2 linked regions of the Oryzias latipes genome follow. The protein of the gene in region 1 binds, or shares a complex with, the protein of each later gene. Links are inferred from orthologs where the notes say so. Each region holds a gene or a part of one and is shown on either strand. Other genes may lie near its edges. The genes, in order: THO complex subunit 4 and thoc2.

Region 1 (4,494 bases):
CAATGGATATCCTCTTAGTGGGCTTGTTTTGGAAACCAAAATACAATGTGGAAGGCCAACATTTTTTTTATTATTATTATTATTATTATACATTTTTCTTGCCCTGGGATGGACATTGTTGAGTAGTGAATGCAGGAATGCAGCTCTTATCTCCTTCCTCTAAGCCTTGGAAGCAAAATGTTGAATAAAAGACTTTTACAGAACTTCTGCTTGGTTTGACACTCATGTATGTTTGTTATAATACAATGAACAGTAATCAGTGTTAGGCTGTTTTTTTCCTCGGAACAAACGTTAGCTAAAAGTATGGAAAACGATCATAAATAAGAGGTTAAAAACTCCCCAGTATATCCCCCACCCCACTAAAATTCAGCTATTTTTAAATATACATAACTGTATTTGTAGTTTAGCTTTACAGATTGATTATATCTTTGATTTTCACTTTTTTTACACCCACAATTATTAGGAAAGTAATTCTTTTGCTTTTTTTATTAATAACAGCAATACCAGTTTTTTGTTATTTCTTTATAATAACGTGCAATTAACAGAGGTAGAGTTTACAGACAAACAGAGCCATGTAGCTCAGAAACAATCAATGTAGGAAAGGTTTCAATAAAAGAACAAGAGGGAAACTTTCTTTTTTGTTTGTTTTCTAATTAGGTGAAGAAGTTGTTGGTCTTAAAAATACTACTACCTTCAAATCAAAACAATAGAGTTGCATTTATATTTGTTATTTACATATTTCAAATGAATGTGAAGGAAGAATACAATCATGCATTCTCGTGCAGGGTGCTTTTTTAATCCTTATTGTAGTATGAAGAAGAGCAAAATTTTGAATAATACTTTGAATTGCTATCTTTTTATGCAAAATTAATCTTTTGAGATCAAATTAATTTCAACTTCTTAGCAGATTTGCTGACGTGTCTCATCAAAAAGAGATCCAATTTGTATTTATAATATGCATATTGAGAGTTCAGGGTGTTGTCCAATTTAAGCATTCATTATAATAACGTTTCTTGATCAAACTAAGAAAGTTTTCTTTAGGTCATAGTCACATCTAAATAAAAAATCAATTCAATACAAATTTCATTTGAAATATGAAACCACATTTTTGTTTGTTTAAAGAAGTGCCTTAGCCTATTTGTTTTCAATGTAATTTAAAGTCTAAAAGTATTTTTTTTTATGTTATTCAGTTTCGTTATAGAGATATAGTTAAAAGTGTTTGATTTAATGCTTTGATTGCTTCTTTTAGTGTTACTATGAACTGAACACACCCATGTATGGCGTTTTTTAGGAATAATGTTTTAGTTTCCAGTAGAGGGCGGTAAAGAGTTGTTGTAGTTTTTAACGTAATGACGTCAAGAGTACGTGTTCTCCAACCAATCAGCTTTTCTACAGCTTGTGGGCGCTTTTCATTGTGCTTAGTACTTGGACCAGAGAGCGTAAATCTACGGACGAAGAGAGGGAACAGCTTAGTCCAGGGTGTTTTAAGACAATTTAAATCTTTACAGTGCTTTAGAGTTATCGGGGCAGCATAATGGCGGATAAGATGGATATGTCTCTAGACGACATTATCAAGCTGAACAGGCAGAGTAGAGGCGGAGCCCGTGGGGGAAGAGGCCGAGGCCGCGGAGGCTCAGGCGGTGCCCGTGGAGGAGGCCTTGGGCGTCTTGGTGGTGGCGGCGGCGGATTTGGAGGCCGAGGCGGAGGATCAGGCCCCATGAGGACCCGACAGAACCTGAGCCGCGCTAGAGGCAGACCAACGCCTTATAGCAGGGTATGAGAAAGTTAGACGAATGGGCATTGGAAGGAAAAAAACCTTCGTCAAAGCTGAAAATTCCTGGTTTACGTCTTCTTTTCTCCATTTGGCTTGACGGCTAATCACCTAGCTAGTCAAGCCATTAAAATGGTTGCTTACCGCTGAGTTTCCCTTAGAGGAGAGCTCTATAGTTTGTGGATAAGCATAAATGGAGGTTGTTTGCATAATATGTCCCTTCTCCCACAACCTATATGTGTCGCACCACTTTTCAAGAAGAAGCTGCTTGAGGAGCGACTATGTTAGCCACATTGGCTAACCTGCCGGATCGTGAAGGTCTCAGCGCCATTTTGAATCCAACAACCTCGAATACAATTTGGCGTCAAAATGATGTTTTACCCCAAGTGTCGTAATGGTCTGGAAAGAAAAGGATGCCTACATCGCTGAGAAGGTTCCTGCACGTTTTTTCCATTGCTACGGAATCACATTCCTTCCAACGTCCTGCTACATCTTCAAGGCGGCCTTTTGTCCCAGGAATGGCTGACGGGGTTTCTTAAAATCCCACCCAAAAGGCTTTTCACCAAATGTCACATATGGATGGATACGTGGACTCATACTTAATCCCCTCAAATTTCCTTTATTTTTTTTTTTTTTTTTGTAAAAAGAAGCCCAATCTTCACTCCTGGGGTGTGAATGAATATAAATGCAACCCAAACAAAGCCCCGATCAAAATGGCGTGGTTTCAAAATGGACGTCCGCGTACTCCACGCACTAAAAAGGGGGCTATCGGCTTCTTTCCCCCCAAAATGTTCTTCACCTGTAACATCCTAAAGACATTTCTTCATGAAAGTCGAATTGTGGCCTGACAAAGGACTGTTGTGAGCCTGGACAAGCGGCGCAACGCGGGATGCGAGGCTGCTTCTGCCGGGGACCCCCCCTCGTGTGCCTGAGGAGCATGTCGACAGACAGAGCAGTTGGTGGAGTAGCAGATGGCAAGAAACGACGGGGTTATGCTAGCTAGTTTGGGGCGGATTTTTGGTTCATGTAAAGATTTTTTAAAGTTAATGTATGAAAATGATTAGTTTAAATATCTGTCAGCTTTTTGTCTTACTTTACAAGTAGTAAAACATTGAAATTTTCTGTATCAAAACACCAAAATAGCTATTTTTAAATTTGTGTATTTCTGTCTGAAGTGATTCACGTGATTGTAACGATGGGGTGGGCAGGGATCATGGGGGGGTCTGCTGAGCACCCTGGCCGTGTTGGAAGTGGAGCACCTGCTTGCACCAACACCCAGCCGTGTGGACTCTGTGAAAGACAGAGGCAGGGGATCCTGAAGTCAGCAGGTGCGTTCTCTTTCGTCTGTTGCAGCCCAAACAGCTTCCCGATAAATGGCAGCACGACATGTTTGACAACGGCTTCAGCGGCTTCAATGGGGCTGCTGGAGGTGGCGGAGGAGCTGGTGTGGAAACGGGAGGAAAGCTCCTCGTCTCCAATCTGGACTTTGGGGTGTCAGACGCAGACATCCAGGTACAACTTAGCTAGCATATCTGATGGTGATGTTTTTTTTTTTTAATTGATGACTTAGTTTTGACTTTTTTTTTTTTTATCGAAGGAACTCTTTGCTGAATTTGGGACTCTAAAGAAAGCTGCAGTTCATTACGACAGATCAGGAAGAAGCCTTGGAACGGCAGATGTCCACTTTGAAAGGAGGGCAGATGCCCTGAAAGCCATGAAACAGTACAATGGCATTCCTCTTGATGGTATTCTTCTACTTTATTACAGATTTATTTAATTAGATAAATACATTTAAATATTAGTTGATCTTCCCAAGATTAAAGCCTAATTTGTGTTTAGGGCGGCCTATGAACATTCAGCTCGTCACATCACAGATCGACACACAGAGGCGGCCTATGCAGGGGTAAGTAAGCATGGATTCTTGGGAAACTGGAAACAGGCTGTTGTGTAAACCCCAATTACATTTTCTTTGTGTATTTGTTTTGTTTTACCAGTATGAACAGAGGTGGTGGAGGCATGAGTAGAAATCGGGGTTTCGGAGGGATGCAAAGAGGCCGAGGGGTCCGTGGTGCAGGTGGTCCCAGAGGAAGAGGGCGGGGGGGGCGCGGCGGTGCCCCCAAGCAACCGCTATCGGCAGAAGAGCTTGACGCCCAGTTAGATGCTTACAATGCCAGGGTACATCTGTCAAAATAGAAAGCATCTTCTGTTGAAGTTGTTTTGCAGCTGTCCTAATTCTGTTTCACCTCTTGTTTTCTCAGATGGATACCAGTTAAGGAAACCTCCCATCCTAGTTGACGTCATCCCTCCCTGTCTGCACAGAAAGGGGTGCTTGTTACAGATGTGCAGAATATTTTACACTTGTCTTCTGATGTGATTGAAATTGTTCCAACCTCTTCTTTTAAATACTCCAAAGTGTTTTTTACCAAGTGTTTTATTTTTGTTTTAATTTTTTTTTTTTTTTTGATCGAATGGTTTTACTGTAGGTTAACTGCTGGGTGGAGTTTTCTCAGTTTCTCCCAACCCTGTAGTGAATGGAACTTGTAATAAAAACCTGCAGTATATATTAAATAAGCAATGGGTCATTGTTGTTTTGCTTTATTTTTTACTAAAACCAGTCTAAGGTGGAAATATGCTGGTTGTATTTACATGAAAGCTTTTACTACTTTTTAAAATGCATAGGCTAATAAAATTATTAAATGTTTGTAAATTACATTGTCCAATTG
Region 2 (3,817 bases), on another chromosome or scaffold:
GAAAATTGAATTTTTAATGACAAAATCTGAGATTTAAATTTTTGAGCATTTCACCCAGCTCTAGGCAGAAACAGAAAATCTCATGTCTAACTCTAGACTATGATTTGGTAAGGCGCTGCATAGTGGAACAGTGGTTAGCCCTCTTGCCTCACAGCAAGAAGGGTTGAAATCCTGGCGGGGACCTTTCTGGGTGGAGTTTGCATGTTCTCCCCGTGCATGTGTGGGTCTTCTCTGGACACGCCGGCTTCCTCCCACCGTCCATGCGTCATTGGTTAAAAGGTATCCCTAAATTGTCCCCATGTGAGCGTGTGGCACTACAACAGACTGGCGACATGCTTGGGGCGTACCCCACCTTCGCCCAACAGTTTCTGGGCTGGCTCCAGCATCTTGTGACCTGCATTTGTATGGAAAACTAAACAGTTGATTCTTGATGCGTTAAAAGATATATAAAGCAAATAAAATTAATATAGCAACATTGTTACAAAAATGATTTATTTGCAAAAGATGCTGAAATTGTTCTCAGCTGCAAAATTAAATAATAAATGTCCCTTTCTTCTTTCAAATGTAGGCCTAACTGTCACTGATAATGATGAACCCTCTTGATGCAGACAAACTTGAATTTGTTCCGTGTAAATCCTGCTTAAGTTGTAATTCAGTTAGTGGGGTTTTTGACAAAAACAACTGCTACTCGAGCTCAAGATGTTTGTTCCAATAATGAGGTAAAGTAGAAAGACAGGAAGCATGGATACCAAATCAAATTGCCATCCATTTATTTTCTGCTTGATTCTTTTTGGTTTCACTGGGTTGCTGGAGCCTATCCCAGCCACTGTTGCGTAGTACCCCCTGGATGGTTTGCCTGTCTATCACAGTGCTTTACAGAAACATACAACCACTCACATTCACACTCAAGCACAATTTAAAGTCCCCAATTTTTTAATGAATTTGAGTTTATTGGCAACTATTGATGAAAGGTCAGGGTTATTCAGGATTCTAATGATATTATGTTTGATTATATTTTTGGGGTTATTGACCTCTTTCTGTGAGTAATTCCCATAAATCTGCCGCTTTTACTTCATCAGAGTCTGATACCTGAGGCCATCTTGAAGGAGAGGCTGGATCCCGAGACACTGGAATCTCTGGGATTGATTAAACAAGCTCACCAGTTTAACCAGAAGATTGTAAAAATCAAGACTAAACTTTTGTAAGTGCAAACATGCTTCAACATAGTACTCTTGCTGTCTAATGCCTGTCTGACTTTTCTATAACTTTCTTTTTTTTTTTTTTTTAGTTACAAGCAACAGAAGTTCAACTTGCTACGAGAGGAGAACGAAGGTTACGCTAAATTAATAACCGAGCTTGGCCAAGACCTGTCAGGCAACATCACCAGCCACCTCGTCTTGGAGAACATAAAGTCTCTCATAGGTATATAAAGAGTCATTTTTCTGCATCACTACCTCAAACTTTCTTATCTCAAATATGATTATTGTGTTTATTGAAAATGTGTAATAGTGAATTTTCTTAGTATTAGGGATTTCTGTGCCACAATTTCTTAGTTTGGCTTTTTCACAGCAAGTTATTGGTGTCTTGTGTTTTAGTTATAAAAAGACATTTTAGAAGCAAATTATTATATATCGTTACATAATACTATTTATACATAAAAATACAATTCTAATTATTTATTAAAAGATATTGCTTCACATTAATAGCTCAGAAAAGTTCAGTTATTTCCTATTCGACTGTTTTCAAACTGAAATGGGGTCCATGTCAGTTCCAGATTAAGTCATTTTTGGTGCTAGAAATCATTGTGGCTGGATCCCAAACTTTACTGATTACAAACAAATTTACAGCTGTAAACACGCTGTAGAACAGCAGAGTATGAAATGGATCCAATAGAATTTCAATGAAAAACATGTCATAGGATGCTTTGTGTAAAAACTACAACCGTGACCTCAGGGATAATCTTTTTTTTCCCTCCCCTGTAGGCTGCTTCAACCTGGACCCTAACCGGGTTTTGGACATCATCCTTGAGATTTATGAAAGTCGCTCCGATCAAGACGAGTTTTTCTTGTCGCTCATTAAGTCCTACATGTGTGAGCCACTCACTCTCTGCCACATTTTGGGCTTCAAGTTTAAATTCTACCAGGTGAGAACACCCAAAGTTCATATTTAAATACAGGCATGTATTTGAGTGTTTTTTCTAATAATCATACTATCTTCATTGTTTTAGTCTAAGTTCTCATTGATTGACTTTTGTATTTGTTCAGGAGCCCAATGAGGAAACCCCCAAGTCACTTTACCACATTGCTGCTGCACTGCTCCACCACAATTTAATAGAGCTGGAAGACCTTTATGTACATGTAAGTGCAGATTTTCATATCATTTAATTCATTCCAAATTTCTGCTTTCCATATGTCCATCCCTTCAATGAAACCATTTTTAAATTGTTTTTTTTTTTTTGTGCGTAAATTTGCACCGAGAAAAAAATAAACCCTCCCTGACCTCAAGTTACTTCTGCAATTTCAGCTGATGCCACTAGATGTCACTATTATTGAAGAACACAAACGGGAAATCTCAGAGGCCAAGCAGATCGCACGCAAACTGGTGATGGTGGTGCTTCCCTCGGACAAAAGTGAAGACAGAGAGAAGGAGAAGGAGAAAGAGGAGGAGAAGTTTGAAAAGGTATTTGAGCTTTTTCTCTCATTTAGAATGAAGTCAAACAGAATTATACGTTTTGTTCTAATCTCAACCCAACTTTACATGTTGTTACTAACATTTTCACAAGATGAAAAATGAAAATATCATTTTCGAAACTTAAATAACAGACATTTCAATAAGAACTAATTGAGAAAGGCATCGCTGTCTACATCGGTGCATCTGTGTTTGGTTTTGCATCTGTTTTGTTTTAATCCCTCTTTTTACTTGATGTCTTTTGCTTTTGTATGTTGTCCCACAGCCACCTGATAATCAAAAGCTTGGTCTCTTGGAAGCACTACTTAAAATTGGAGACTGGCAACACGCCCAGAGTATTATGGACCAGATGCCCTCCTTTTATTCTGCTTCTCACAAAACCATCGCTTTGGCACTCTGCCAACTGGTCCACCTAACTGTGGAGCCTCTTTACCGAAGGTGCTGATTTTCATCTTCCACTTGTTGCCCATAACATGCATTATGTTCATCAATAAGACACACACTGTTTATGGAAAGACTAGAATCCAAGAGTGGATTCAGAGCTGCAAACCAAAGCTCTAAGACTAGCCTCTCCTCTTCACAGGGTTGGCGTTCCCAAAGGGGCGCGGGGGAGTGCCATGCTTGCACTGAGGAACGGCCGGGCTCCACGGCCTGCAGAGACTTTTGAAGATCTGCGCAAGGACACGTTCAGCATGCTGTCCTACTTGGGCCCCCATCTCTCCCATGACCCCATCCTGTTTGCTAAGATTGTGCGACTGGGAAAGGCTTTCATGAAGGAGGTTTGTAACTTGAAACCATTTAGCATCATCTGCGCTCCAGCATCAGAGGTTGACTCTGTTCTTGCTCCTCAGTACCAAAGTGACAGCAGACCTGAGGTCAAAGACAAGATGGTGAGAGCAGCAGTTGCATTCCTTTCATGGTCTTTCCAAGCGTCTACACCTGTTCGACTTGTTGTGACCTTAATGTTACGTATAATAATTGCAGGAAATACTGTTGAGTTGTTTCCTGAGCATTGCAGACCAGGTGCTGCTACCCTCCCTCTCTTTGATGGAGTGTAATGCTTGTATGTCAGAGGAACTCTGGGGTCTCTTCAAACTCTTTCCCTATCATCACAGGTGAACAAACACTC

The links.
Region 2: THO complex subunit 4 (region 1) and thoc2 share a complex: the UniProt entries of both Homo sapiens proteins name them as parts of the transcription/export (TREX) complex. The link is inferred for Oryzias latipes from reciprocal best matches to the Homo sapiens genes ALYREF and THOC2.

What each region holds. Positions count from the first base shown.
Region 1 is NC_019866.2:15,369,530-15,374,023, reverse strand, and holds THO complex subunit 4, read left to right. Parts: upstream 1-1,387; 5' UTR 1,388-1,534; coding exon 1,535-1,774; intron 1,775-3,124; coding exon 3,125-3,283; intron 3,284-3,368; coding exon 3,369-3,516; intron 3,517-3,610; coding exon 3,611-3,674; intron 3,675-3,765; coding exon 3,766-3,946; intron 3,947-4,029; coding exon 4,030-4,044; 3' UTR 4,045-4,353; downstream 4,354-4,494. UniProt on the Homo sapiens protein: Functions as an mRNA export adapter; component of the transcription/export (TREX) complex which is thought to couple mRNA transcription, processing and nuclear export, and specifically associates with spliced mRNA and not with unspliced pre-mRNA.
Region 2 is NC_019872.2:16,166,713-16,170,529, reverse strand, and holds part of thoc2 (THO complex subunit 2), read left to right. Parts: intron 1-1,079; coding exon 1,080-1,201; intron 1,202-1,288; coding exon 1,289-1,422; intron 1,423-1,982; coding exon 1,983-2,143; intron 2,144-2,264; coding exon 2,265-2,357; intron 2,358-2,523; coding exon 2,524-2,679; intron 2,680-2,953; coding exon 2,954-3,126; intron 3,127-3,271; coding exon 3,272-3,467; intron 3,468-3,539; coding exon 3,540-3,578; intron 3,579-3,672; coding exon 3,673-3,803; intron 3,804-3,817. UniProt on the Homo sapiens protein: Component of the THO subcomplex of the TREX complex which is thought to couple mRNA transcription, processing and nuclear export, and which specifically associates with spliced mRNA and not with unspliced pre-mRNA.